Lytechinus pictus: one gene and its partners. The protein of the gene in region 1 purifies or fractionates together with the protein of each later gene. This does not show direct contact. Links are inferred from orthologs where the notes say so. Each region holds a gene or a part of one and is shown in the gene's direction. Other genes may lie near its edges.

Region 1 (7,321 bases):
TAGGTGGAGCGTAGTGTAGCGGTAGTGAAGTGGAGTGGAGCCTGTACCAACTTCGCTCGAGGTACGGTACATGTAATTAACCTGTGTTTTTAATGAAGTACAGGTAAAGTTTTTCTCTACTAACCAGCAACCAGATGAACCTCTTCCGACACCAGGGCCTATTACGTTATAAAGTTACTATTACGGTAACTTTGCTATCCAACTTCCCTGAAATCCTTGATTTTGATTGGCTGATGAGCGATGTTACCATGGTAGTTACCAATGGATAGCAAAATTACCATAATGATAAAAATGCGATGGCCCCTTGAAATTTAACAAATTAATTTTTCATGAAAAGAAAAGAAAAAATAAATCTTCCTCATTTCATGCTCTTTCCTTGAACCAGATTCACCAGTGAATGTGTAGAAAATAATGAAGTCTCTGGATTACCTGACAGTATGGCTGTTTTTAAACATTGCCAGGGCTTTATCTAATCCAAAGCCACCCTCTGTGCCCCCCCCCCCCCCCCCCCCCCGCACTTCGAAATTTTTGTGCCTTTCAAACCTTTTTTTTTTATTTGTGCTGAAATATAAGAATATACCCTTTTAAACAGTGGCCTTGACATAAAAATATTGACATCTAATACTTGCACAGCATAGTGACAAAAAGGAACTTACAGATGTAGTATGATTCTAGTTGTTGTCTTAATCTGACTTGCTGTAGCTCTTCTTTATACCTGCTGTTAATAAGATCTGTCTGATCTCTAGTCTTCTTCATAGTCAGCATTCTAACAATCTTTCCTTTGTTCCTGAAAAACATAAACACATATTGGAAAAAATGTTAAAGGCCAAGTCCACTCCAACAAAAAGTTGATTTGAATAAAAACAGAAAAATCCAACAAGCATAACGCTGAAATTTCATCAAAATCGGATGTAAAATAGAAAGTTATGACATTTGAAAGTTTCGCTTAATTTCACAAGTTATATGCACATCCTGGTCAGTATGCAAATGAGGAGACTGATGTCATCCACTCACTATTTCTTTCGTATTTTATTATATGAAATATGACATATTCTAATTTTCTCCTCATCGTCAAGTGAAACAATGATTAATTCCTCCCCAAACATGTGGAATTAGCATTGTTTAATACTACATGGTTCAGTCAAGTTGGTCCTTATTGTCAAATCTGTAAAAAATGATATAATTCAAACAATACAAAAACAAAAGAAATAGTGAGGGACATCATCGACTGTCTCATTTGCATGTCACTGAGTTGTGTGTATCACTGTTTTGTGAAAAATAAGTGAAACTTTAAAATGTCATAGCTTTCTTATTTTACATCCAATTTTGATGACATTTTCGGTGTTATTCTAGTTCGATTTTTCTCTATTGATTCAAATCTACATTTTCTGGAGAGGACTTGACCTTTATTCCTTTAATGAATAAAAATCATGAATAAAACCCTGTTCACAGTGGTGTAAAGAGCATGAAATAAAATTAAAAAGGAAAGAGAAGGATGAATGACATAATTTTCTGAATATTGTCAAAATCTTTCACAAAATTTGATTTTTGTAATGAAAATGTTGAAATTTTTGCTCCCTCACTCGCAACTTTCATTTCAAAAATATAATTTTTGCCCGATACGCCATATCTAATCCCAGCCACCCCTCAAAATGTTCGCCTCATTACGCCATTGCCTGTTCATTTATGGCCAAGATATTTTTGGCTCTTGCCCCCCCCCCCCCCCCCCCCCTGCTGGCCACACGACCTCTGGCTCTGACCTCTCTGTCTCTGTTAATTATTATTATGGCTTTCCCTGGCCCTGCCAGACCCTGGAATGATTCCAAATTAAATTCCAATTGCCAGAATAGGCAATTAGCTAAGTCCCACATAAACTTGTAGAGTTAGCTTGTTCTACTTTTCGATTGTCTTAATTTTACGTTTACTTTAATAGACTTTTGATGCACGGAGCCTAACAGTAACACATAAATATGATTGGCTCTATTCATTTGTGTGCACTAGAAATCGCACGCGCTTATATACGAATTACGATGAGTATCAACCGGGCAGAACGTTACTCGACTCAAATTAGTCTAACTGAACTAAAGAAAGCTAAAGTCGAAACTTACTTTCGGACATAGAAAAAGAACCAAAGCGAAACGACGATAACAACCATGTAAATGTTAGTTGCTTCATTCCAGTGATCGATGTGTTCCTCTGGAGGAAGACCATGGTTTTCATGCGCCATTTGGATTATTTTTAGGATCAGTCAATCAATCGCATAAAAATAACAATAAATAAAACCGTCTATGGCAGGCCATAAGGGAACCAATTATTTAGTGTCATGTGCATAGCATGCAGACTTGGAGAGAAAGTGCCAAAATGGAAACGCCATTTAAAGGCCCTTCCTAATCATGTTAAATCAGTTATGATTTTTCATATTTTAAAGAGGTATTGATTAAAGCAAACCTAAGTCACAATTACTAGTGACTTATAAATTTTGTCTTCAATCTTAAAAAAACAATAAATTATATATGTATTTCTGATGTAATTTTGTCCCACTCAATGAACCTAATATAAAACGTGTATGTTGATGGTTAAAAATAAACCACGCATCGGATGTGTTTTGGCAAATGTACTTTTTTATGAAGAGGAGCAGTGTCTTGCCTTTATATAAATTCTGATTTGTATATCGAACATGTCGACTGAGCAAAATTGGCAGCCGCACATTTGGTTAATGTGTAAAAAATTGTGGCTGGAAGGTTGTTATATCTCTAAAGACTAGCGACTCAAGTGCATGAGCAATTTTATTTTCTTGAGATAGGGCTTGATCGAGTTATGATCTATATTATTATATTTTGTAATCACTTTCTATATAGACGTAAAAGAGACAGAATGGCAAAACAAGCGTGGAATATATGACATTCAGTTTGACTTTATAAAATCATTTCACTGTAATATAAATATTCCTCTTTTAAAAAACATTTAATTCTTTACAAATATGTTTAAGTCTACATTTAGTTTAGCTAAATCCCACAAAGTTATCGCTCCAATTCATGATGAATGTGTATACTAGGGCTGTATACCCTAAATTATGACGACGTGAAGGATATGAAATAGAAATGTGTTTTATTATATATCAAAATGTTATTTCGATACTGGTGCCCGATCGAAATAAGATATCTGTTATTTTTTCATGGGGAGTTGTTATATCTTTTCAATCATGGAATTGGCTGAAAGATTTAGTATTCAATAGCTTTCTAATATGACTGATAATTTGTAGAGTAAGTGCAAGTGCTGCTTTTAATAATAAAAACATCACCCAGATACTAGGGGTACTAGGGCGCTTTTTTTAGTGAGGCCAAATAATTCAAATCCGAACGGCGAGGTGCCGTGGCCGAACGATCTATATAGCCCCTGACTACGCCATATGGAGAATTAAATATGACAAATTAAACATTTTTGTTTAAGAATTTGTTTAAACAACTACTGTACGACATAGTAAACAGCGCAAATATAGAAATAAAATATGACATGTACCGGGTATGCATCATTGACCGTCAAAGTGTGTCACGTGTTTAGATTTTTTTTAAACCTGCTGAATTGTTAGATTTTAATTCTAACGTCCGCAAAACATCTAATAATTAATGAACCCTTTACACTTTTGTAATATGTTAGATGACACTCAAGTATTACTGGCTATTTTAAAGCTTTCGACTGGCTTAAAGAAAAAAGGTTTAACTTTTAATAAAAACATGCACTTTTACTAAGGAACATTGTTAAAAGCTTTTTGCTTTCACAAATCATAATTATTTCACAAGCATAGTTTATTCGAAATTTTGGCCCACCCCCTGAAAAAACGTATAATAATAATAATAATATAGAGTATTTCTAAAGCGCCAAATCCACATTGATTATGTGCTCAAGGCGCTGTTTAAGAAAAATATATTTCATTCCCACAGTGACTCTCCACGAATCACTTCATTTGCTATGAAAATATATTTAATTTTTTATTAAAAAAACATATCACTTTTCGCAAGCATATAGTTTTTAACAAAATAATTGCTATGGGTGTTTTTAGTAAAATATTTAACTTTCTTGGAACTTTTTTTGTGAAACATTTTTTGTGAAAAGTGAAAAATACATTTTCTTAAAGTGGAATATTATGTTTGTGAAAAGATAAATGCATTGTTTTCGTAAAAGGAAAAAATATGGTTTTATACAAGAGAAAAATATATATTTCTCAGAATGAAATATTTATCCAAAAATGAAATATATTATTGTTGGAGTAAAATGAATTTTAATTTTTAATTCTTAGTTTATGGCGTCCCATATTGATCTTCCAATCCGATCCCGCGCGGAGCCTTGTTTTTTACGTTGTAAGTCATTTGTTCTAAAGTTCTGATTAATAATTTTATGAAATAGAATAGAAAATATAAATAGAGAGTCTACCTTTCATATTAACGCATCATACTTTACCCTACAAATACAATACCGTACTGGTAGTCGATGCCATGATTTTCAGCCAGGCAGGGCCAGGGGCACTGCCAGTGCCACTGACCGATCCGAGTGAGGCTGATCTGGGCTGCTACTGCTACCGGTAGCTCCGCCGCCGCCGTAACTTCGGGCGCGGGCCGAGCTCGTGCTAAGACTTGAGTCTTGACACCGGCGCGGCAAAGCTTTTGTCTTTTGACATTTTTGTAGGCCTTTTACTGAATTATGCATAGAGCCATATTTTGGTATGTACTTCCACTCTCCCATCATATATGTTCTAGAAAATTTAAGTCTAGTTTCACGAAGAAAGAAATACTCCCAGAAACAAAATTCACTCGAACTCTAGTCTAGACTAGAGTCTAGTCTAGTAGTAGTACCATGAGTACCGTTACTACTAACTTAGTAGTAGTAGTACTAGTAGTACTAGTAGTCCCGTAGTACTGGTATACTATGACAGTAGAGGCGCACGGCCAATATAGGAGACTCTCTCCAATAGGGGAGACAATCTCCCAAATTGGAGACTTGCTTTGCAAAAGGACAAAAGAAACAACACCAACAAAAGCATGTTTTTTCCACCCAAAATTTTGTCTCACTGAGGTCAGAAGCCCGTTTGTTTTGTGTGTGATTGACAACAAAAATCCTTATCAAAAATATCAAAACAAAAGTAGACGGTGAATTTTTAAAGTAGTACTAGTAGACGGTGAAAAGGGGTAATTTTGCACGAGGAATCTGCTTATCACATTTTTATTTGCCGCCAAGGTAATCCTTTTGCAGCAAATGTAAATAAAGGAAATTGGTCTCCAAAACTGGAGACTGTCTCTGAAATCGGATACCCAAATTCTTTACAAAAGTCTCTGAGTCTGATATTGGAGATAATCTCCCACATTGGAGACAGTCTCCAATATTAGCCGTGCGCCTCTACTGTATGAGGCAACTTTAAGTTTAACCAGAGCAAATTGAAATTTTGAATTATTGTTTTTTTTTTCTGCTGCACATCCATATTCCATTTCCAACAAAGAATCTGTAATAGAACAACAACATTACTGAATGACAAGGTTCATTGGTCTGTATTCGTTGGGCATCAAAAATCTATAAAGAATTCTGTAATTGTAATTATGATTCTCATATTTACTCTATACTATAGCTTTGCCATTGGCTTTGATGGGCTGTCATCTTAATGGTTTTGTTGAAACAGACAGGTCCTCATCTTGACCAAGGCATACCTTATAGATCTGAAGAAGCCACAGGATCACCCACAATGCAGCAGTCATTCCGTCAGCTTGAAGAGAGAAACCTCTCTGTAGAGGTTACCCTTATGCAGTGGTCCCCCAAGATGGATCTCATTGCCCTAGCCAATGAAAATGGAGAGGTATGTTCCTACAAAGTGTAGTATATTTAGGTCAAGTCCACCCCAGAAAAATGTTGATTTGAATAAATAGAGAAAAATCAAACTCAATTCAATTCAAATTGTTCAATTCAAATTGTTTTATTCTCTCAGTAAAACCTTTACATAAAAAACAAATATAATACAAAGTTAAAATACATGTATTACAAATCAGTGTAAAAATTGCATTATGATTCAGAATCATACTAGCATATCACAAAAAATTTCATCAAAATCGGATGTAAAATAAAGTTATGGCATTTTAAAGTTTCGCTTATTTTTCACAAAACAGTGATATACACAACTCGAGTGACATGCAAATGAGTCAGTCGATGATGTCCATCACTCACTATTTCTTTTGTTTTTTATTGTCTGAATTACACAATATTTCATTTTTTATAGATTTGACCATGAGGACCAACTTGACTGAACCATGTAGTATTAAACAATGTTAATTCCACATGTTCAGGGAGGAATTAACCGGTGTTTCACTTGGCAATGAAGAGAAAATGAGAATATTTAATATTTCATATAATGAAATACAAAAGAAATAGTGAGTGGATGTCATCAATCTCCTCATTTGCACACCGACCAGGATGTGCATTTAACTGTTTTGTGAAATTAAGCAAAACTTTAAAATGTCATAACTGTCTTATCTTACATTTGATTTTGATGAAATTTTCAGTGATATGCTTGTTGGATTTTTCTATTTTTATTCAAATCAACTTTTTGTTGGGGTGGACTTGTCCTTTAACAGTAAATTACCAGTTGGTCTACACCAGGGTTGAGCTCAATTACTTTCTTCAATTACAATTACGTAATTGAAGAAATGTTCAATTACAATTACTTTTCAATTAAATTACATTTTTTCAATTACAATTACCAATTGCTTTTGTCAATTACAATTACAATTACTCAAAAAATGTAATTGATTACGTAATTGATCAATTACCTTGTAATTGAGCACAACCCTGGTCTACACTCTTCTTTTTCTTCCTGTTTTGTTCCATCTTACATGGTCTTATCTTAATCCATCTACAAATGGCTATCTAACCGTTTGGTCTAATTGCTTTGTAGCTCATTTACCATTTTGTTTAATTTCCAGTTAGACTCTGCCCATTTTGTAGGGAAAAAAATGAAATACAAGTCTAAAATGGATACTTGTAATTCATTGAAATTAAATTTGTGTTTGATTTCTGGATTTGAGTTTTGATTGCATTGTATTCTGCAGCAAGGCCCATACAACCAGTTCATGAGATTGAGTTTTGGAAGAAATGTTTGCAAGTTGTTGATTATAGTGCACCTCAAAATCACTGGATATGCTGTGAGAAGTTTGGATCTCCCATTTTGCTGCTCACTTCAATCTTAATCACTATCGTTCAGTCAATTTTTTGTTGTATTTTGAATGTTAGGGCTTTTGAAGATAAGTCATTTGCAATAAACCTATTTATTATTGCTTTCACC
Region 2 (7,083 bases), on another chromosome or scaffold:
CAAAATTTTGTGTTTTCGGCACAAACATTATTTATATCATCAGAAAGCTCAAATTCTATACTTTCTTACAATGTCACTCTTGATATGTGGCATCTTTTAGATGGGTCAGCAGCCAGCTTTTTCCATCAAGATGCAAGACGAGATTTCTGAATTTTTTGAGTAGCATAAAATCCAGAGTTCTGATTGGCTGAATAATGTTTTCAAAACAGGCGAAGGTATTATTTGAAGAGATAAGGCCTGGGGAACATTGGAATTTGCGTGGGTGTGTGGTCTCTATGACCAATCAGAGCGCAGTATTCTTGTTTTTGAGCTGGTAAATGTACTTGGCCTATGAAAAGCTGGCTGCTGACCCATCTAAAATACCTCTTCTTTTAAAAATTATATCATATTAAAGCTTAGATCTTCAGCTTTATCATAATCTAAAAATCATTTGGGCTCAAACAGAAATTATGTGGAAAAATAACAACTTTTGTTGCATGAAAATAATTACTTTCTATTGTGTTTTAGATCAAAAGTTTCACCTATATTACACAATCTTTTTAAAAATCCAAACACATGACCTGAAAGAATGATTCTTCTTCTTTACAAAGATACCAAAAACATGAAATTTTGTCAATATTTAGAGCACCAATAACCGGTGTGTTGGCTCAGTTGGTAGAGCGTCCGTCTCACAACCGGGAGGTCGGGGGTTCAAACCCCGGCCGCGTCAGACCAAAAGACGTTAAAAGATGGGAGTTGCTGCTACCCTGTTTGGCGTTCAACAATTAAAGGGATAGAGCCTCGTCGATCTGGCGCTGCACAGTGGCTGCCGGGCCCACGATCAATTGGGCAAAACAAATTTTCGGAGTAATTCATTTCTGGTGTCTATTTTGAACTACATGTATAAAATATGGATTTTAAGATTTTTTTTTTGAAAGATAAAAAGAGGCACCAAGCTCATTAACAATGCAAAAACCCTCTAGTCATGAATATCACCTAGATAAAAGAAGCTACTTTTTCAGGGCTTGCCGCTTGACTGGACACACAACCTGTCCGGACGCACGACCACTGGTAAGTGCTATAGAGTGAGTGATTGTATTACCGACCGGCTTGTATTACCAAACGCGCGCATCATACGCGTCAGTATATCATTTCATCCACTCAAAACTTTGCAACATCCTTCCAAACAGAACTTGAATAGAAAGATGATGAAAAATTGTCAAAATCACATTTTCAAAAGTCTTAATATTCTAAAAATAATAAAATATGGTCAAAATAGCTCATCAGTGATTTTGTTGTTTTCTCAATTATAGAAAACACACATTCGGTAATACGATACCTTTTTCAAGTGACCAAAATATTTCACATGCGAAGAGGGGTCAGATTGGCAGCAGAGGCGCACGGCCAATATTGGAGACTGTCTCCCATGAGAGAGATTATCTCCAATATCGGAGACTTTTGTAAAGAATTTGGGTATCCAATTTCAGAGACAGTCTCCAGTTTGGGAGGCCAAATTCCTTTGTTTACATTTGCTTCAAAAGGATTACCTTGGCGGCAAATAAAAATGTGATAAGCAGATTCCTCATAAAAAATTACCGTAAGTAACGGTGTATTAACCGCACCTTTTTCTCGGCGGGATATAAGCAAAAGTCGGGGGTGCGGTTTATACACGGTGACGGGTCTGAGCCCGCCCGCGTAGCCCCTCCCGAACATGTAAGAAGTCTGCCAGTTCACAACACATCGAGTGGCCGGCCGTAGCCGCCCAGTGCAATGTCGTTTAGAGGGGTATGAGCCGCGGGTAATGGGTAGCGATTATTATGATCTTATGATCAAATACTGTCGTAACAAATGCACCCACCTTCATGACACTAATTTCGACTTTATTCTCGATTCAAAGCAGCAAAGTTCCCTGGCTAAGTTCATAGAGACGCCAAGCATTCTCGGTGATAATTTGTCACAGCTGAGCGAGAGCCAAGAGCTAGCGCTAGCTTGCGTTGTATTTTGGTTTTAGTGCGACTTAAGCTGGCGCTATTCATTTAATTTAACCCCTCAAAGTCCCGTTTCGCGCCAGCTTATTTTTTTCTTTCCCGTTTGCTTTTCATAAGATACCATGTACACCGTGCACCACGCACGATAGAGACGGCACAAAGCCGTCAAACAACTGGAAAAAATACAAATTTCTTTGTTTCTTGAACCTTCCTGTAATCCCGTATCCAAAATTCATGCTAAGACATCGAATGCTAGACAAATTCTGAAAGTGATTGTGAGGTTGTGATGCAAGAAATGTGAAAGACACAGATCACAATTTGATAAGATGTACTGGTAGTGGTACCGTATCGAAGTTTGAAATGTACATGTACAAGAAAGGCAGTGCTGTGTGTGTGTACACTGTGCTGTGACTGTGAGGTGAGTGAGTGTGTAAATTGCCAATATTGGCGGGACCTTTCTTTCTTGCTAACATTTGTAGATGAATTGATCAAGAACAGCAGATTTCTGCACACTGGTAATCTCTTTGAATACTTTGAAATCTTTAACTTAGTTTTTGTTTCTTCGTACCTCAAATATGCATGTAAATGTGAGGTTTTTTTTTTTTTTTTTTTTTTTTTTTTTTTTTTTTTTTTAGTCCAAAGTTGGGGGTGCGGTTTATACACGGGTGCGGTTAATACACCGTTACTTACGGTACCCCTTTTCACCGTCTACTTTAAAAATTCACCGTCTACTTTTGTTTTGATAAGGATTTTTGTTGTCATCCACACACAAAACAAATGGGCTTCTGACCTCAGCGGGACAAAATTTTGGGTGGAAAAAATTATGCTTTTAATTTTGTTGGTGTCGTTTCTTTTGTTCTTTTGCAAAGCAAGTCTCTAATATGGGAGATTATCTTCCACATTGGAGAGAGTCTCCCATATTGGCCGTGCACCTGTACTGATTGGAAGCTAATATCGTAAAAAAGAAAAAAGATTTTAGCAAAATTTTTACATATTTATATTTTGTAGGTACGGTAATTGTGTATCTATATATTTTTTTATGAGTATGGTGAAAGATTGATGAATTTTATGACAATAATGTGTTTGATATGATTGAATTCATAGAAAAGTGTTCGATAATACAATCCACTACAAAGTACAGCTTGCGCTTGCTGGTTAGTGATAATTAGGTCGGTCGCACATGCGCAGATAGTTTTCAGTTACCGTCCAGGGGCCGATTGCACGAAAGGGTCTTTCCAAGGACCGTCTTTCGTGTCGCCCATCTTTTATGATGCGCTATAAGCAGGGTGGTGTTTCTGAAATTTATGATGAACAAATAAAATTCGTAAGCTTGCTTTTAAATCAAATTTTATAAAATTTCATGAGATATCAGATCATTTTATAAACAAATATTTTGTTTATTTTAACGGACAAATAAAATATAGGCCTATTTGCAGATAATTTATTTGAAATGCGTTTCACATGGCGTATCATAAAAGATGGGCGACACGAAAGACGGTCCTTGGAAAGACCCTTTCGTGCAATCGGCCCCAAGATTTCTCCCGTCGGCCGTCGCAGATTGAAAGCCCTGCCGCGCCGCGGCCCCAACCGGCGCCGGGCTCCTCCGGCGGCGAGGCAGAGCTCGTTGATTTACGTACCTTCCTGCATGTGAGCGAACACCTCACGTGTATTGACCAATGGCAGAACAAGCAGACCAAAATTTGGACACATCCTATGGCTGCTAAAACGATCAATCCAGCTTCCAAATATTCACTGACCCCATAGGCAACCACCAAAAGATATAGCCATGCAATGTATATAAATATAAATGGGAAAATATATCCATGGAGGACTAAGGGCCGCAAATTATATGAGGTGACACTCTCAATTTTTTCTTCCATGGAAGGTGCCATATTGGAAAAAGGTACAATGATTACAATTCACTTGTTAATATGATTAGATTTTATTTTTTTAATACCAATATATTGATCAATTTGTCATTCTCAAAAAATACTAAAGAATATATATATTATTTTCAATCTGAAAATATAGTTTATGAATTATTTACTTGAAATTTTGATTGCTTCATAATATAGACTGAGCGCCAATTTCTGATTGGTTTGAATATGGCTGCATATACTTCAGTCAATTTAGCTTGGGATGAAGTCACAAAATGTCTCTCAAACATCACTTTCCATACGGTGAGACCAATGAAATCGTATTTTATCGTAGATAATTACATGATATCTAGTAATTGTGTGAGATTATTTGATTGAATTGTTGTAGAAAGATATAAATTGTGATCAAACAATGGCTTAAATGTCACTTGATAAAATCCTGCCAGAACTTAGACATGGAAGAGCTCGGGCTCATCTTCGGGGTCGGGCTGTATGGGGGAGCGACCGGGCTGAGCTGTGGCTGTGCGGACGAGCTTATCTTCTGCCGGCTGCGTACTCTGCCAGCCAAGACTCAACTTCTAAACTTGAGTCAAGAGCCCCGAGTTCCATATTTATGATGAATGATTTAAAAACAACTATGATCTACTATAGCTAGGCCCCAGATCAGGGTTGGGCTCAATTACAATTTTTACAAAGCAAAGCAATTCATGAATTAGATCTAGATCTAAAGCCAAACTAGGGAAAGTAATAAGTTAGTAATTGAAAAATTGTTTGACTTCAATTACTGTCGATTACTTTTAATCCGGGCTTATGATTAGATCTACTTTCAATTACATTGTCTTTATTAGGCCTAGATCTACTTACTTTATTATTTAATTTACTCTGGATTGCTTATTTCTCTTTTCCCATAGCTATAAAAGTAATATCTTTTGCATGCAACTGTAGGCCTATCCTTTCCCATTAATATGTAGAGGAAAGAGGAGACACTTGACCATTTGAAATATTTGAGAAATTTTGCAAAAGGTCATACTCATAGGTTCCAACAAGAATTGAGAAATCAAACTATGTAATTTTTCATATTAGCAAAGCTACATTTCTTATATTATAATTTCATGCAGTGGCCTCATTTGTTTGTAACAATAAATGTTAGATGTTAAATCTGTATACTTAAATTTGGAATAGCCTACCCCCCTCAAAAAAAAAAAAAATCAGCTTTAAGTGGGTGATTGCGAAAAATGTGGATGAAAAATACTTTTTTTACTGCCCCCTCCCCTATAGGTGAAAGCTGGATCCGCCCTTTGCACGACTCAAAGTCAAGTTTACATGTTGTACATTATGATTTCTACATATGAAGAAAGCATGCAGATCTACATTTTATTGAGAATTTCAATTGAAACAGAGCAATAGGCAGGATCAATGCTCTCTAAACTAATAAAACCTTCATGTCAGTTTCTCTCTAACTTATAATTATGTTGAAATGGGTGGCACTACATTTAAAATATGAATTGATTTCATTTATGACTTTATTAAAAGTAATTGAAATTGTAATTGATAAAAGTAATTGGTAATTGTAATTGAAGAAAGTTATTGAGCCCAACTCTGCCCCAGATGCGTAGACGTAGACTTAATTAATATCCTTGGCAAGGGCTGGGCAAGGCCGCTTAACTTTAAACAAGGACAAAGACTGATGTGATGCCGTGGCAAAGATAATTAAATCATCATCATCATTGTACAGAAGAAGTAGGTAATCCTGTATTAGTGCTTCCGATCATTCCTTTGAGATTACTTTTACTGGTTTTTAAAAACAACTGATTAACGTGTGTGGAGGGTGGACATAGCCAGGAGGCTCCTAGAGAGTAAAAATCATTCACTAACGTGTGCTCTCCACGGAGTCGGGGATTGCGTCCCATTCATGTGCTTGTACCACAAAAAAAATTGAAATTTTCGCCCCCAGAATTCCTACTTTCCTTCTAAGATCTAGCCTTAAATCATGTAAATGGGATACAACTTCATTTCCGACATTTATACGATATTGATTCCATTTTTGTCTCACCTGCATAGCAGAGTGAGACTATAGGCGCCGCTTTTCCGACGGCGGAGACGTCAACCCCAAATCTTAACCAAAGGTTAAGTTTTTGAAATGACAGCATAACTTAGAAAGTATATGGACCTAGTTCATGAAACTTGGCCATAAGGTTAATCAAGTATTACTGAACATCCTGCCTGAGTTTCATGTCACATGACTAAGGTCAAAGGTCATTTAGGGTCAATGAACTTAGACCATGTCGGGGGAATCAACATCAAAATCTTAACCTAAGGTTAAGTTTTTGAAATGTCAACATAACTTAGAAAATATATGGACCTAGTTCATCAAACTTGGCCATAAGGTTAATCAAGTATTACTGAACATCCTGCATGAGTTTCACATCACATGACCAAGGTCAAAGGTCATTTAGGGCCAATGAACTTTGGCCAAGTTGGGGGTATCTGTTGAATTACCATCATAACTTTGAAAGTTTATGGATCTGATTCATGAAACTTGGACATAATAGTAATCAAGTATCACTGAACATCCTGTGCAAGTTTCAGGTCACATGATTAAGGTCAAAGCTCATTTAGGGTCAATGAACTTTGGCCAAATTAGGGGTATTTGTTGAATTACCATCATAACTTTGAAAGTATATTGGTCTAGTTCATAAAACTTGGACATAAGAGTAATCAAGTATCACTGAACATCCTGTGCGCCTTTCAGGTCACATGACCAAGGTCAAAGGTCAATGAACTTTGGCCATAATGGGGGTATCTGTTGAATTACCATCATAACTTTGAAAGTTTATGGATCTGACTCATGAATCTTGGACATAAGAGTCGTCAAGTATCAGTGAACATCTCAGTGAGTTTCAGGTCACATGACCAAATTCAAAGGTCATTTAGGGTCAATGAACTTTGGCCATGTTTTTTTTTTTTGTTGAATTACCATATCTCTGTAAGTGTATTGGTCTAGATCATAAAACGTGGACATGAGAGTAACCAAGTATCACTGAACATCTTGTGCGAGTTTCAGGTCACATGACCAAGGTCAAAGGTCAATGGATATTGGCCATGTTGGGGGTATTTGTTGTCAAATTACCATCATAACTCTGTAATTTTATTGGTCTAGTTCATAAAACGTAGACATAAGAGTTCACATGACCAAACTCAAAGGTCATTTAAGGTCATTGAACTTTGGCCATTTTAGA
Region 3 (7,842 bases), on another chromosome or scaffold:
TTTTGTCTTCAACTTTTACAACCTCACATTTTGACAGTATGAAGAATTTTTTTTTTCGGATAAACCAATATTCTAAATATGCGTTTGGAAAACTGAATTACTATTTTGGTTATTTTTTACGAACCTTCCCTGGCAACTTATTGTTGATATTTGGGTGGCTGGCCACATTTTGTTTTGTTGAGAAAAAATATCAAAGAGTATATGAAAAAAATATTTATGTAAAAAAGCTTGCCTAGCTGTTGGTATTTTCTTCTGTTGTACTTTGTCATGTAACTCTGATAGATTTAATTTCGTTACACAAAATGGGGTTCAGTATTCAGAAAAAACCATTAACCTTGCCTCAACCACAACAGTACTTGCCAAACTGGATATATCAACATTATATCAAGCTGTGTAGAAGAACTTAATGATCATGTAGATACCATTAAGTGCATACATATGTAATGTATTTCAAGCTGTATGACATAGATATTCTTTTCCATCCAACATCAGCTTCTACTATTTTTTTAAGGTTAGTATTTATTCATGTTGGCAAATTGTGAAATAGTTCATGTTGAAATATGTTGCATTACCTGTCATGCATTTCTAATGTTATTTTTTAGAATATATTCTGTCATCATTTTCAGTACATAAAAGTTTATTCAATGTATGCCTTTACCAAAGTTGGCCATAAGCACAGTGGGTACTAACTATCACTAAAGACAACACGACAATTACTCAAAATATATAGCCTTATAAATGTACAAGTCAATAAAATCTACTATGACTACATAGCTTTTCTTTGTGCAACACAGTCATATTTCATTTGGATCAATTCAAAATTGAGTGGTGTTTTGGGGGTAATGCTATGGTAACTGCAGTTCTGTTGTCCTCTGACAGTTGGTGTTGTAATGATGTGATTGGCAGTGTGTGGACGTCATGTTATAAGAGAAAAAAGAAAGTTAAAGTGACAGTGTTGGCTTTGAAATGGACTCAACCTATGAAAGTTAAAGTTTGTGCTGCAGAAACTGGTGTGGTAGTGGGATGATAATGATGATGAGGAACATGGCCGGTATTCAATGCTACTCTTAAAACCACAATTCTAAGTATATTTTACTCAGTATTTTGCAAAAGTAAAGTACTTATCCATCTTTGGTATTCAATTGCATTTTTTTTTGGCTAAATATTTTGCTTAAATGTAAGTCAGCCATCTACTAGTCTTAAGTCTACATATACAAAAATGATACGCACAGAAATACATTCACATATTTGGCACTATTTGGCTCAAAATTTATAACATCACAATGGGTATTAGTATTTACTTCAATTTGGATAAGGTAAATTCTGAGATCTGATCTGCATCAAGTTTAAGCATTTTGTTAAGCCAGCCAAATTGCTAAGTAAAATACTTACAAAATGAAAACTTAGAATTTAATAGGCGGCCGAGGTATTATTTTTTTTCCAGAGGACATGTTCAGATTTCTTGTTGACAAAGGATGACGACGTGATGATTATTTTGCATAACCTGGCTTATCAAAAAATATATTATGTATATTCCATTTCAGTGATAATTGCATTTTTGGGGAGGGGATATTACATATTTGGGGAATAGAAATGTTCAAAATTAATGCATACTTAACCTAATTACGCAGGGGGGGGGGGGGGGGGGGGCTCTGAGCTCTGTGATTTAAAAAAAAAGTCTTTTGCATGTTTTGCGAAGCCCGGGTACTGGGTTCTGAAAATTACCAAACAATTTGAAGGTACATATCAGACAAAAATGACTCAAAATTGTGATATTTGTGTATACCACGTCAATGGAATATGCGTTTTCAACCAAAATTCATAAATGCCTAATTGTTTTTAGTTTTGTTGAACTAAACTGATTTATTTTATGCTGTTACGAGAGTCCCAGCAAAGTTCGTTGAAAAAAAAAACAATGCAATACAAAAGTACAAAACCCAAGAATTATTAAAAAAAACACCACAAAGAGTTTCTAAACCAAAAATTAGACCATTTGGAGCTTTATTTGGGGAGTTAGAGGAATTGGTATAGTATACTAATTATGCACAAATGAGCATAATCAATTAATATCAATTTGCATGAAATAAGTAACTACACAATTTTGTGGATTATTACAAGCAATTGCAATCTATTTCTTCACTATTCATTGTTTTTAGAAACCTCATTGTAGACTTGCCTCATGCACCTCCTCTCAAGTTGGCTTCATCATTTGAATTATATTCTACACTTATCATTCTTTAAAAAAAAATCATTGTAGACTTGCCTCACCTCCTCTCAAGTTGGCTTTACCATAATATTCATTCTTTGTTAAAACATCATTTTACACTTGCCTCACCTCCTCTCAAGTTGGCTTTACAATACCCTTTTCGTTAAAACATCATTGTACACTTGCCTCACCTCCTTTCAAGTTTGCTTCTACATAATATCCATTATTTGTTAAAACATCATTTTACACTTGCCTCACCTCTCAAGTTGGCTTCACCATAATTTGTAGTACAGTTTATTCTTTTTAAAAACCTCCATTGAAACTTGCCTCGCCTCCTTTTAAATTTGTAGTAGGGTTTATTCTTTAAAAAAACCTCCATTGAAACTTGCCTCACCTCCTTTTAAATTCGCTTCACCATAATTTGTAGTACAGTTTATTCTTAAAAAAAACCTCCATTGAAACTTGCCTCACCTCCTTTTAAATTCGCTTCACCATAATGCAGTCTATTCTTTTTAAAAACCTCCATTGAAACTTGTTTCACCTCCTTTTAAATTTGTAGTACAGTTTATTCTTTTAAAAAACCTCCATTGAAACTTGCCTCACCTCCTTTTAAATTCGCTTCACCATAATTTGTAGTACAGTTTATTCTTTTTAAAAACCTCCATTGAAACTTGCCTCACCTCCTTTTAAATTCGCTTCACCATAATTTGTAGTACAGTTTATTCTTTTTAAAAACCTCCATTGAAACTTGCCTCACCTCCATTTAAATTTTGTAGTACAGTTTATTCTCTTTAAAAACCTCCATTGAAACTTGCCTCACCTCCTTTTAAATTGGCTTCACCATAATACAGTTTATTCTTTTTAAAAACCTGCATTGAAACTTGCCTCGCCTCCTTTTAAATTTGTAGTAGGGTTTATTCTTTTAAAAAAACCTCCATTGAAACTTGCCTCACCTCCTTTTAAATTCGCTTCACCATATAATGCAGTCTATTCTTTTTAAAAACCTCCATTGAAACTTGTTTCACCTCCTTTTAAATTTGTAGTACAGTTTATTCTTTTAAAAAACCTCAATTGAAACTTGCCTCACCTCCTTTTAAATTCGCTTCACCATAATTTGTAGTACAGTTTATTCTTTTTAAAAACCTCCATTGAAACTTGCCTCACCTCCTTTTAAATTCGCTTCACCATAATTTGTAGTACAGTTTATTCTTTTTAAAAACCTCCATTGAAACTTGCCTCACCTCCATTTAAATTTGTAGTACAGTTTATTCTCTTTAAAAACCTCCATTGAAACTTGCCTCGCCTCCTTTTAAATTGGCTTCACCATAATACAGTTTATTCTTTAAAAAAAACCTCCATTGAAACTTGCCTCACCTCCTTTTAAATTGGCTTCACCATAATTTGTAGTACAGTTTATTCTTTTTAAAAACCTCCATTGAAACTTGCCTCACCTCCTTTTAAATTCGCTTCACCATAATTTGTAGTACAGTTTATTCTTTTTAAAAACCTCCATTGAAACTTGCCTCACCTCCATTTAAATTTGTAGTACAGTTTATTCTCTTTAAAAACCTCCATTGAAACTTGCCTCGCCTCCTTTTAAATTGGCTTCACCATAATACAGTTTATTCTTTAAAAAAAACCTCCATTGAAACTTGCCTCACCTCCTTTTAAATTGGCTTCACCATAATTTGTAGTACAGTTTATAAAAACCTCCATTGAAACTTGCCTCTCCTCCTTTTAAATTTGTAGTACAGTTTATGCTTTTTAAAAGCCTCCATAGAAACTTGCCTCACCTCCTTTTAAATTGGCTTCACCATAATACTGTTTATTCTTTTAAAAAACCTCCATTGAAACTTGCCTCGCCTCCTTTTAAATTTGTAGTACAGTTTATGCTTTTTAAAAGCCTCCATTGAAACTTGCCTCACCTCCTTTTAAATTGGCTTCACCATAATTTGTAGTACAGTTTATTCTTTTTAAAAACCTCCATTGAAACTTGCCTCACCTCCTTTTAAATTGCATGGCTTCACCATAATACAGTTTATTCTTTTTAAAAGCTTCCATTGAAACTTGCCTCGCCTCCTTTTAAATTTGTAGTACAGTTTATTCTTTTTAAAAACCTCCATTGAAACTTGCCTCACCTCCTTTTAAATTGGCTTCACCATTATAATATTCAGGTAAGGTATATTCATTCTCTTTTTTAAACATCATTGTTCGCTATAAGCTTAATCCCTCACCTAGATCAATTGGCTATATATAATACCTTTTATTCTACATTATTCTTCCCTAAAAAAAAAACATTGTACTCCTGCCTCCCCTGATCTGACATTTGCCTCTCAACGTACTGTACATAGTGTTATTATCTCTTTATATCGGAAACTTCGTTTTACCGAATTGCCATGCACTCTCTCCGACGCGGTTTGTAGAACAGCATGGAATACTACCAGCCGATGGTACACACACACACACGTTATTTGACAACTTGTCTCTGTCCAGAGCCAAAGTTCCTCGCATATAACTTTCTGCATGCCAGCTGTACTCAGTGTGTATTGAACACGCACGACCACGATCTAATGAATATTCATCGGCGAGAGTGACGTAATTTTACGAGTCTCCTTTCAAACTTGGTTCATAAGTGCCTACCTTGAATTTGGGAGTGTGAATTTTACACTTGTTAACAAGTTAAGCACAGCAAGTAGGAAGAAAAAACCGTCAGAATGGGTGTCTGGTTGATGGATCACATTCGCCTCCTGCGAAAGGAAGGACTCTTTGGAAATTTGTCTATTTTGGTAAGGCATGAAGTTTCTGAAGTACTGCACACTCCGGTCTCCGTCTACTACATAGACGTACCGGTAGTGTAGTAGGATTCTAGGAAGCATCCTCAGTCCCATTCATGATTTTTTGTGATGTGTCTGCATATCATATACCCAGTTGTTGTGTGTCCGGACAGGTTGTGTGTCCGGATGATCAATTTTAGAAAGTCATTTGGAAAAAATTACAAGCGAAGTTTCATCAAATTTTAGTACAAAATTTTAGAAAATATTATAGAGAACAAAATAGAAGATGATTACAACTATTGAATTCATATTTTTAGTGTAATCTTAAGACAAAAAAGAAGGCTTCAAAAATATAAAGTGTCCGGACACCCGATCCCCCATCCTACAAGTCAAGAGATATAGGGCCTAGCTAATAACGCTAGAGAGGGCGTACTTCGTCCAATCCCTGTGGGTGTCACGCGTACGCGCGTAAAACATTCCCCATAGTCTTTAGACTTGTGCGTTAAAATGGCACTTTTGAAAAATTCATAAAAAATAAATGTGAAATTTAGAGGGGGTCGAATGTTTACTACCTTTGGCTTTGCCTCTGACTTGAGCCTTGAGGACTCCATGTCTGATATTTTGTAATATTTTGACATATACTTCTACAGACATGGGGCCTGTTGCATGACGAGATGAGCAATACGTAGGAAAGTCCTAGGACCATTCTTCCGAGATAGGAAGATTGGCGACAAATCAGCGCTTTCCGTTTCACGAAGGCAATTTTGTCTTTCAAGTCCGCGACATCGTTTGATATCGATATAGTATCGGAAAAATATTTAGTCTTCATCGTCACCTGAACCTTTTATTTCGGAATGACGACTTTTCATAAAATCATATATTTCAGTAAAATGGGATCAAATAATGTTTTATTTATTACTGATTGTAGAATTTATGGAGCGTACTTTATGAGGTAAAAAGAGGAAAAAAAATCAAGATTCACAAACAACTGGGGCGGTATTCTGAAAACCGTGTTAGCACAAAAACGGTGTTAGCTAACACGATTGGTATTCTGAAAATCGTGTTAGCATGAAAAACACGTGGCCCAACGCGCAACCCCCATACGCGGTGTTAGGGAGGAAGAAAACACGATATTGGTGTTAGCTAAAATTTTGTTCAAAGATAACACGAACATTTAACACTGCATTAAGGAGAGGTTAAGTTGTGGATGACGATGGCTGCACTTTTTCTAGCAGACGCAAACGTCAAAAAGAACATATACGAGCATATGTATATCGTCTGGCAGAATTTACTGTACTTTTCTTTCATTTTCCAGCTTTATTTTCCATCTACCTATCTCTCTACTAACAATGATAAAACAACATTTTCTTTGGAATATCCTGTGAAAATACACTTCAAATGCATCTTTGATTTTGATTAATTGAAATATTTATCATAAATGCTCATAAGTTATTTATTTGGTTACTTTTTGCAATATTATAAAAAAAGACGGATGGAGAGGAAGAAACTTTAAAACGTCTAAAAAACACAAACAGAAATTAAAAAGAATGGAATTGGCGATTTGGGAACTCTTCTATAATATTCACAATTTTTTTACCCTTTTTCAATGGTTATATAGTTCCAATAATTACACCTTTTTAACTCTCAATGCTTCTAGGTTATCCTTAATTCATCTATCCCACCAGTCAATCTATATGCTTCGGATCAGGGGGGGGGGCGGGCAAAAGTGATTTTTTTTTTTGGCTGATCGATCGCTATACGCATCCAATATTTTAATAAAGAAAAAAAATTACAATTTTGTATGTTTGATATTTCTATGTCAGATTTAATTTTTCTTAAGTGCTATTCATGCTTTTCAAAATTTACATTTCAAATATATTTTTTCATGAATTATGCTTGCCCTCATATTTTAGGGGCGATCGTCCCCTGCCTGCTCCCCAATCGACCGAGGCATCTGTCTCCTGTCATAATTTTGTATCCACGCCGTCTGACTCCATTCTGTGTTCTGTTCTGTGTATACACGTTGTATCTACATATGTGTGTAAACCAGTGAAAGAAGAATTTCCTCTATGGACAATATAGTTATTCAATTCAATATTTCAATTCAATTAAATTCTTAATTGTCACAATCACCCCTCCCTGTGTCTATTTCCAGCCCTAACTTTTATTTAGCTGTATGCGCTTACAAAATGATGTCACAATGCAGGTTTCGTGTCACCGAGCGCGCAATTCCCCTTTTCCCTGAAAATTTTGCGCGATTTGTTTCTTTAACAGCGCATTTGATTGGATTAAATAGATGCAGAGTGGGAGGAGCTGAAGATAACACGAAATGAGATAACATGCAGATAACACGCTTTTCAGAATACCGATTTGGGGGTATGTTAGGGGCGTGTTAAATCAGAGAGATAACACGATATTTAACACGAAAATTAACACGATTTTCAGAATACCGCCCCTGGATAAAATCGAAATTTTCATTATTTCCCTTATTAAGAACACGGTGTCCTTTTAGAGACACCTTTCATTGATATTTCAACGAAAGAGACCCTTGTCCGACATAAAAATTGATTTAACTAAGTAATTTCAACATTTTATTAGTTCAATATACTGATTTTTTCTAGAATACATATGCATGTATATAATGATGATTTTGCAAATTATGCGTTAATATGTTATCTGTTGAGGTAAAAATAGGGTTTGAATGGAGTAAATAAAATCAACAGTGTCTGATTGTATGAGACTTAAAAGGAAAATATGAGAGGCTGCCTGTGAGAAATCTAATTTATTTATTTTATTTATCAGATGTAATTCAAGAAATACAAATGTGAGTGTTTAGAGTATAAACATACCTCAGTTGCATGA
Region 4 (7,238 bases), on another chromosome or scaffold:
ATGAACAAAACATTATAATACATTGCACATAATAAACCCTCATACAGCTTGTCCCAGAAAAGAAAATAAAGAATTGTCTTAATTTAATCACAAATATTATTAACAAATATGCCAAGGCCATGAACCAGGGCATCGCAAATTTGGTCTAAAAAATTGCTTTAGACTTGAAAGAAAAAAGTCATGAAATGAAACATGCAAACATTTCACATCGGAGATTTTAGGGTTGAACATGCCATAATTTGAACATTTATAATTATTAAAAAATACATGCACCTTCCTATTCATTCTAAACACTAACTTACAATTCTTTTAATAACTTTAAAAATGCTGCCGCTGGAGGAAAAGCAACTCCTCTATCTACTTCAACTATGCAGGAGAGGCAAAAATGAAGTATTTGGGCAATTCCACAAGTTGGTGGAAAAGAAATAAACAACTAAATGATCAAACAAAATCATTTTTTTCCGTTTTTGGTTTCCCTGATTTCCATAGGATCTCAAACCATATCAGTAAACTTGCCAAGTGCTGTGCAACTAGAGAGAAAAAAACCCCATGAAGTTGCAAATTAAACATGGTTTCTTTGGTATGGTTTTCATAAAAATTGTGATGAAGGAGAAACATTTCTATACTCTCTTAAAGGCCATGTCACCCTTGGACAAAATGGAAAGCAAGCAACCATGTTTCCCATCTCTTACACAAAAAATAAATATTGCTCTCTGATTTTACAACATATGAGGTTTCCATCTTTCCTTAGAATTTTCCATCTTTCCTAAGAACACATTCAACTCAATTCAATTCATTTTCCACATATTGAGTAAAAAACATACAATATCAGTAGGCCTACAATCAAATACATCCTAGATAATTACAATACAAACTAGTTATAATATGGCGTACATAAAAAAAGACGTAGAAAATCAAAATGTGAAGGGGATTGACAAAGGCCATATTGATCTGTCAAGGTCAATCCCCAATGAAAAGAAAAATGGATTAAAAATGGAATACATAAATTACATATGAGAAGAGATACTTGACCTCAAAACCCCAGATAAAGTAAAAGACAGTAAAAGACGAATGAAGGGGAGGGAGGGGCAAATATAAAACTACCTTAAGGAGTAAGAAGGGAAATTTTATATCTATGTTTGAAGGAGTGTGGAGTGTGGGGAAATGTTTGAGTTCATTTGATAAAGAATTCCAAAGTTTGGGTCCGACATATATATTGAATAGTGTTTCGTGAAAATGTGCATTTCAAATTTGGAATAAAGAGATCATTAGCTTGTCTGGTTAGACAAGTTAACATCTTGTCATATTGCTGTCCAAGAAACATGAGTAACCAACCCAAAAAAAACAACCAACATTGTGTCTCTGAGCGCTTTACATGTTCATATTCCCCCCCCCCCCCGAGTCCCCGATCACAGGATTCCGACATGCCCGCACACAATGTATGCACTTTCTCTATACCCTGGGGAGCATTTCAACAACAGTTCCAAGACTCAATTGCTAGGCCTACTACATAGGCTTTCGCATCCTACCGGGTACCCATTTAGGGTTTATTATTTATTTCCAATTCTTCTAATGCCAATTCATCCAATTGCCAACTCGTCTACTATCATTTGGTCTACCATTAGTTCGTCCACTCACCACATGGTCTACTTTCATTTAGTCTAATGCCATTCCGTCTAATAACCAGTTGGTCCAATAGCCATTTAGTCCATATACCATTTGGTCTAATTGGACTAAGTGTTAAATTGTGCAAAATGAATGAAAATGAAATGGATATTAGACCAACTGGTTATGAGACGACAACACTTCCACTCAAATTTCCATTCCAATGCATAGCAGTTTTCTCTTCTCAAGAAAAAAACCAGAATCACCACTCCAAAACATAGATGGGGCATTCCATCGAGTCAGTCGCATTTCATCTTTGCTGGTCAAAACTTGTCATTGTTACAAGGGCGAGTCTCTCTGTCAACTTTAACTTGAAATCAAAGCTTTATGAGCAAACTGACCAACATGATTATGTTCCTTCATGAACTGTGTGTTAGAAAAAAAAACTAGTCTCAAATTATATACCTTTTGACATAACCTGATAATAATACAGAGAATATTAAAGTAGCATTATATTAATTACATTTAAAGAGAATTAAATTGTTGAGAAGAGGAAATGCACTTGTTTTCTATTTGGTAATTAATGCTCTATGAATGTACTGCATAGTGAATTTTTAAATCATTCATGTAGACATAACACTACTCAGAATGGTGCATTATGGGTTCGGTGCATTATGGGTTCGGAGACTGGCCAGATTAGAGTATGGCAGTGGATTGTATTACCAAACACTTTTCATGAATTCAATCATATCAAACACATTATTCTCATAAAATTCACCAAACTTTTAACATAAATACACAATTACCTACAAAATATAAATATGTGAAAATTTTGCCGAAATTGTTTTTCCTTTTTACGATATTAGCTTCTAATCGGACCCCTCTTTGCACGTGAAATATTTTGGTCACTTGAAAAAGGTATCGTATTACCGAACGTGTTTTTTCTATGGGAAAAGTTGAGAAAACAACAAAAACACTTATGAGCTATTTTGACCATATTTTATTATTGTTAGAATATTAAGACTTTGAAAATGTGTTTTTGACCATTTATCATCAATTTCTATTCAAGTTCTCTTTGGAAAGATGTTGCAAAATTTTGAGCGTATGAATTTATTTTCTGATGCGTATGATGCGTGCGTTCGGTAATACAAGGCCGGTTGGTAATACAATCACTCACTATACTACTTTAGAGTACTAGGCTGCTGGATCATACTTGCATATGAGGAAAAAGCTGCAGGCTGTATGCAAAGACATCCTAAGAATTGGATAGCCGATCATAGCCCCATTAGAAAAATGTACATGACAAAGAATTAACTAATTACTTTCTTACTCAAATCTGAACACTTTTACCAATTTCACATCAGAGCACGATTTTCACATTGATAGGTCTATCTCTTGTAATTTTTGTTTAAAAAAAACCAAAACTTATGGGTCTGTCCCATCACAGTTTGTCCAGCACCAAAAAAAAAATGCAATTTCAACACTTCAAGCAACTTCTATTTGCATATTTTCTTTTCCACTGATGTTACAGAAATGACCCTAAAAATATCAAAATGATTAATGAAATTCCAAAGAAAAGGTCATGATTCTGATTCCCACTCCATGAGTGCAGTGGAGGCAAGCCCTAATGTTTATAGATCGCCTTCTTCTTCTTGTTTTTTCTTGAAGTGAACTACCTGGAGTTAGGCCTACCTTGAAGGCTTTTCTTCATCAACAGTTTGTCAGTAGTTCCATAGACCGCCCTTTTCAGAATTAGCCTGTTCCAATCGAGCCTATTTTTAATTTCGCTCCCAGCATTATGCAGTTATAAATGCTCCACTTTTTTGGGGTTGAGTGCCAATTCCCTGCCCCCTGAACGCACATTATTCAAAGGTATAAGTGCACAAGGAATCTAAATCATATGGATAAGAATTAAGATAACTAATGCGTTTACGCGTTAGTTAGCTTCACCTTTGAGAGGAGAAGGGGGAGAACCCCTCCGGAGATCATGTGATCAACTGATATTGTCAATATTACCATTATTGATAGCGCTGATTGATGTCAACCAAAAATTTGCGAAAATGAAATCTGCAGTTTGCATCCTCCATCTCACATCCAACATTCTCATCTGGGCAAAGAATGGTTTGCCAAGATTCAATGGATATGGCTGCCTCTGGAAAATATTATAAAGTGCAATAAAGCCTAATAAAGGGATTAAAAGTTACATTCTACAAAAACTAAAGCCAACAATACAGTCTATACACACACAAACATACATTACATACTGCACGCTCACTCTCAGCTCTGGTACACAATCGGCCTCGCTGAGATTAGGCCGTAAACGCAAGGGAAGGGACCTCCCCATTATTAACACAATACACATGTGGAACAACACACGTCGAAGGGATCAAACGCAACATCAAGGGGGCTCAAAATGCACAATCCAGACAATATAAGACTATCTATTTAATTGAGATTATCATAAACAATTGGGTTTATTATTACAAGTCACGTCACAATTTCAAACATGAATGGTTTGGGGTAAAACAAATGAAAAATACATACCAAAGCGTCCACTATCCGGAAATTTATGGGTACCGCTCGCGATCGCGTTTTCCGATCAACGCTAATTTACATGCCAGATTCTGAACGCAGATGGCGACATTCCACAAATCCGAACGATCGATCCGAAACGTGCAATTATATCGAAGCGGTAAATTAGATTTGTCTTGATTGAGCCCTGAGTTGATGTCAACTCCGCCCGTGAAAATACTTGAATTGTCTTTTTCAGATTCATGTGAGACTATTGAATTAGAGGGAAAGCTGGAAGACGAGGTACAGTATGATTTTCTGAAGAATTGATTATGGAATACTTCCAGACTAACGTTAGATTGAAATTCAAATTATTATCATCGACCTGCATCACGTCACCTCAGGCTCAGTCCCACACCCTTTGGCTTAACTTCCTTAAGTTTTGCTCGATGCTCATTCTGAATTTTAACATTGTGACAAGTTAACGTTAGAATATTATATCTAATTTATTACACTCTATTGACAATTTATTTTCAGTAACTTTAAAGTTTGCAATGACCTTCTCTGATTTAAGGATATATTTTAAAGTGGTTCTTTTTTAGTGACATTTGCCATTTGATTCAAGTGACAAGTTTCAACACCCATTTTTTTTCATTGAATAAAACAAAAATGAATAAAAATGGGTGTTTATTACATAATGGCATAACAGACAGGCCAGAGGGAGGCAGTCTGACCCCAGCTCCTGGAAGATTTTTACCTGGAAATTCAAAAATACAAGTGGAATAATGAAAGGAAAGGAGACTAAAGACATGGAGAGAAGAAAGAAATAAAATTAAAACTTAAAAGAGGGATGTGAAGAGGGGAGAGGAGAAAGAAGAGAAAATACATGAAAGGGAAAGGAATAGCAAGGAATAATTTTCCTGGTATCGATCGCAATTTGCTCCACACTTTTGAAAGACTGCTATGCCAGGGCTCCACACTAACCCTTTTTTTCTACTGGTCCAACCTATTCATGTCGGACCAGTAGATACCCAGTTTTTCCATTTTTTACTGGTCCGAACCTAAAATCTACTGGTCCCCAAAATAAAGAAAACATTAAAAAAAGGCGTGAGTTTATTTTGCTGTCCTTTCTTGTTACCCCCCCCCCCAAAAAAAATGAAGGAATGAAAGAAACAAAGGAAGAAATAATAAAAGAAAGGAAGGAAGAACAAATAAAAGGTAAAGAAAGGATAGATGTGAAGGAAGGAAAAAAGAAAGAACAAAAGAAAAAAAGGAAAAACAAAAGACAGAAAGTAATGAAAAAAGGAAAGAAGCAATAAAATAAGAAAGAAAGGGTATAAGGAAAGAAGGAAAAAAGATAGAAAGAAAGAAAGGAAGAAAAAGGGTAAATAAAGGATAAATGTGAAGGAAGGAAAAAAAGAAAGAACTGAAGAGGGAAAGGAAGGAAGGAAAGAAAGAACAAAAATAAGAAAGAAAGAACAAAAGAAAAAAGAAATAAAGGAATGAAGGAAAGAAAGAAAGAAGGAAAGAAATGAAGCAAGCAATATAGAAAGAAAGAACAAAAGAAGGAAAGAAGCAATAAAAAAAGAAAGAAAGGGTAAAAGGAGAGATGGAAAGAAGGAAAAAAGAAAGAAAGTATTGAAAGAAGGAAGAAATAAAGAAAGGTAAAATGATAGATAGAAGGAAGGAAGCAAGCAAGCAATAGAAAAAAGAAAGAAAATGTAAAATAGATGAAAGTAAGAAAAAAAAGAAAGACCGAAAGACAAAGAAAGGAAGGAATGAGGGAAAAAAAGAACGAAAGAAGAAAGGAAAGGAAGCAAGCAGTAAAAAAAAAAAAAAAAAAAGTAAAAGGATAGATGGAATGAAGGGAAAAAAGAAAGGAAGGAATGAATGAAAGAAAGAGAGAAAGGGCTGAAAGAAGGAAGAAATAAAAAACAAGAAATGGTAAAGAAAGGATGGATGGAATGAAGAAAGAAACAAAGAATGAAGGAAAGAAAGGGTAAAAAGAAGGAAAGGAAGAAAGAAAGAAGAGATAAATATAGGATGGATGGACTCAAGAATAAAAGAAAGAAAGAAATCAAAAAAGAAAGAGAAAAAGAAATAGAGAAAAATGTTAAAAGGACAGAAAGAATGAAAGAACGAAAGACAAAGAATAATTAAAAAAGAAAGACAGTAACAAAAAAAATTAAAGAAGAGAGGGAAGAAACAAAGAAAGATTGAAAAGAAAGAAGGAAAGAAAGATAGAAAGAAAACAGAGGAAGAAAGCTAAAACTATCATAAATAAATTATCAGTTTCTTTTTGGCTCAATTAAGATATAGCTACGAAAGAAACCAAGTGTATCAACACACACACAAATGCATATGTGGGGCTATCATGTATTCAGACGATATCACTCGAAACCCGATCTCTTTGAACTAAAACAGAAGTGAAAATTTCTCCTTTTACTGCTTACAAATGACAGTTACCCCAATTTTTTGGAAATATGGACATTATAAGAGCTTTTCATTAGTGTGAAATGTGAATTTTGACCGTTCTGTGAGAGATTTCTGCCAGAGGTTTGCCAAGCTTCGTTCGTGCAGCCAGTAGAAAATTCACCATGTGGGCTGTGTGGCTGGCTAGCCATATGTACACTGTATGTTACCCTAGTAAAAATTGCATGCGATTCATTCTGTGTGTGAATGACCAAATTTAACGGGAGGAAAATGGTTTGCAATTTGAGTCATGGAATATTTTTTATGTTTATGTTGGACTAGTGAATTTGACCATTTCTGGAAAAGTTACTGGCCCAACAATGGTTTTTATTACTGTTTATGTCGGACCCATAAATCTTGCTATTTTTGGAAAAATTACCGGCCCGACAATGATATTTTCTTACTGGTCTTGTCGGACCAGTAAATCTTGCTATTTCTGAAAATCTACCGGCCCGACAGTGATTTTTACCGGTCTGGGACCGTCGGACCGGCGCTAGTGTCGAGCCCTGGCTATGCCAAGGCTATGCATATAAATCTTTTGTATAGCATACTGCATATTTTTACATAGGACTACTTTACTTTAGTTGAGAGCTTTTCTCTTAAAAAGTCTTATGACCCAAAATGCTAAATTCAAATAATGTAGTGTACTG

The links.
Region 2: the proteins of anaphase-promoting complex subunit 4-like (region 1) and anaphase-promoting complex subunit 2-like purify together in Homo sapiens (affinity purification with western blotting; 12 studies listed by BioGRID and IntAct, with this or other methods). This does not show direct contact. The link is inferred for Lytechinus pictus from reciprocal best matches to the Homo sapiens genes ANAPC4 and ANAPC2.
Region 3: the proteins of anaphase-promoting complex subunit 4-like (region 1) and anaphase-promoting complex subunit 7-like purify together in Homo sapiens (affinity purification with western blotting; 14 studies listed by BioGRID and IntAct, with this or other methods). This does not show direct contact. The link is inferred for Lytechinus pictus from reciprocal best matches to the Homo sapiens genes ANAPC4 and ANAPC7.
Region 4: the proteins of anaphase-promoting complex subunit 4-like (region 1) and anaphase-promoting complex subunit 1-like purify together in Homo sapiens (co-purification; 13 studies listed by BioGRID and IntAct, with this or other methods). This does not show direct contact. The link is inferred for Lytechinus pictus from reciprocal best matches to the Homo sapiens genes ANAPC4 and ANAPC1.

Annotation. Positions count from the first base shown.
Region 1 is NC_087256.1:13,044,991-13,052,311, reverse strand, and holds the start of anaphase-promoting complex subunit 4-like, read left to right. Parts: upstream 1-4,315; 5' UTR 4,316-4,358; intron 4,359-4,483; exon of another isoform or gene 4,484-4,718; intron 4,719-5,617; 5' UTR 5,618-5,650; coding exon 5,651-5,842; intron 5,843-7,321. Other genes in the region: small integral membrane protein 19-like, read right to left, coding at 657-787, 2,109-2,227. UniProt on the Homo sapiens protein: Component of the anaphase promoting complex/cyclosome (APC/C), a cell cycle-regulated E3 ubiquitin ligase that controls progression through mitosis and the G1 phase of the cell cycle.
Region 2 is NC_087259.1:2,283,096-2,290,178, forward strand, and holds the start of anaphase-promoting complex subunit 2-like, read left to right. Parts: upstream 1-4,058; 5' UTR 4,059-4,072; coding exon 4,073-4,147; intron 4,148-7,083. Other genes in the region: endoplasmic reticulum transmembrane helix translocase-like, read right to left, coding at 3,605-3,859. UniProt on the Homo sapiens protein: Together with the RING-H2 protein ANAPC11, constitutes the catalytic component of the anaphase promoting complex/cyclosome (APC/C), a cell cycle-regulated E3 ubiquitin ligase that controls progression through mitosis and the G1 phase of the cell cycle.
Region 3 is NC_087246.1:28,909,786-28,917,627, forward strand, and holds the start of anaphase-promoting complex subunit 7-like, read left to right. Parts: upstream 1-4,817; 5' UTR 4,818-4,920; coding exon 4,921-4,992; intron 4,993-7,842. UniProt on the Homo sapiens protein: Component of the anaphase promoting complex/cyclosome (APC/C), a cell cycle-regulated E3 ubiquitin ligase that controls progression through mitosis and the G1 phase of the cell cycle.
Region 4 is NC_087251.1:44,500,821-44,508,058, reverse strand, and holds the start of anaphase-promoting complex subunit 1-like, read left to right. Parts: upstream 1-4,237; 5' UTR 4,238-4,332; coding exon 4,333-4,419; intron 4,420-7,238. UniProt on the Homo sapiens protein: Component of the anaphase promoting complex/cyclosome (APC/C), a cell cycle-regulated E3 ubiquitin ligase that controls progression through mitosis and the G1 phase of the cell cycle.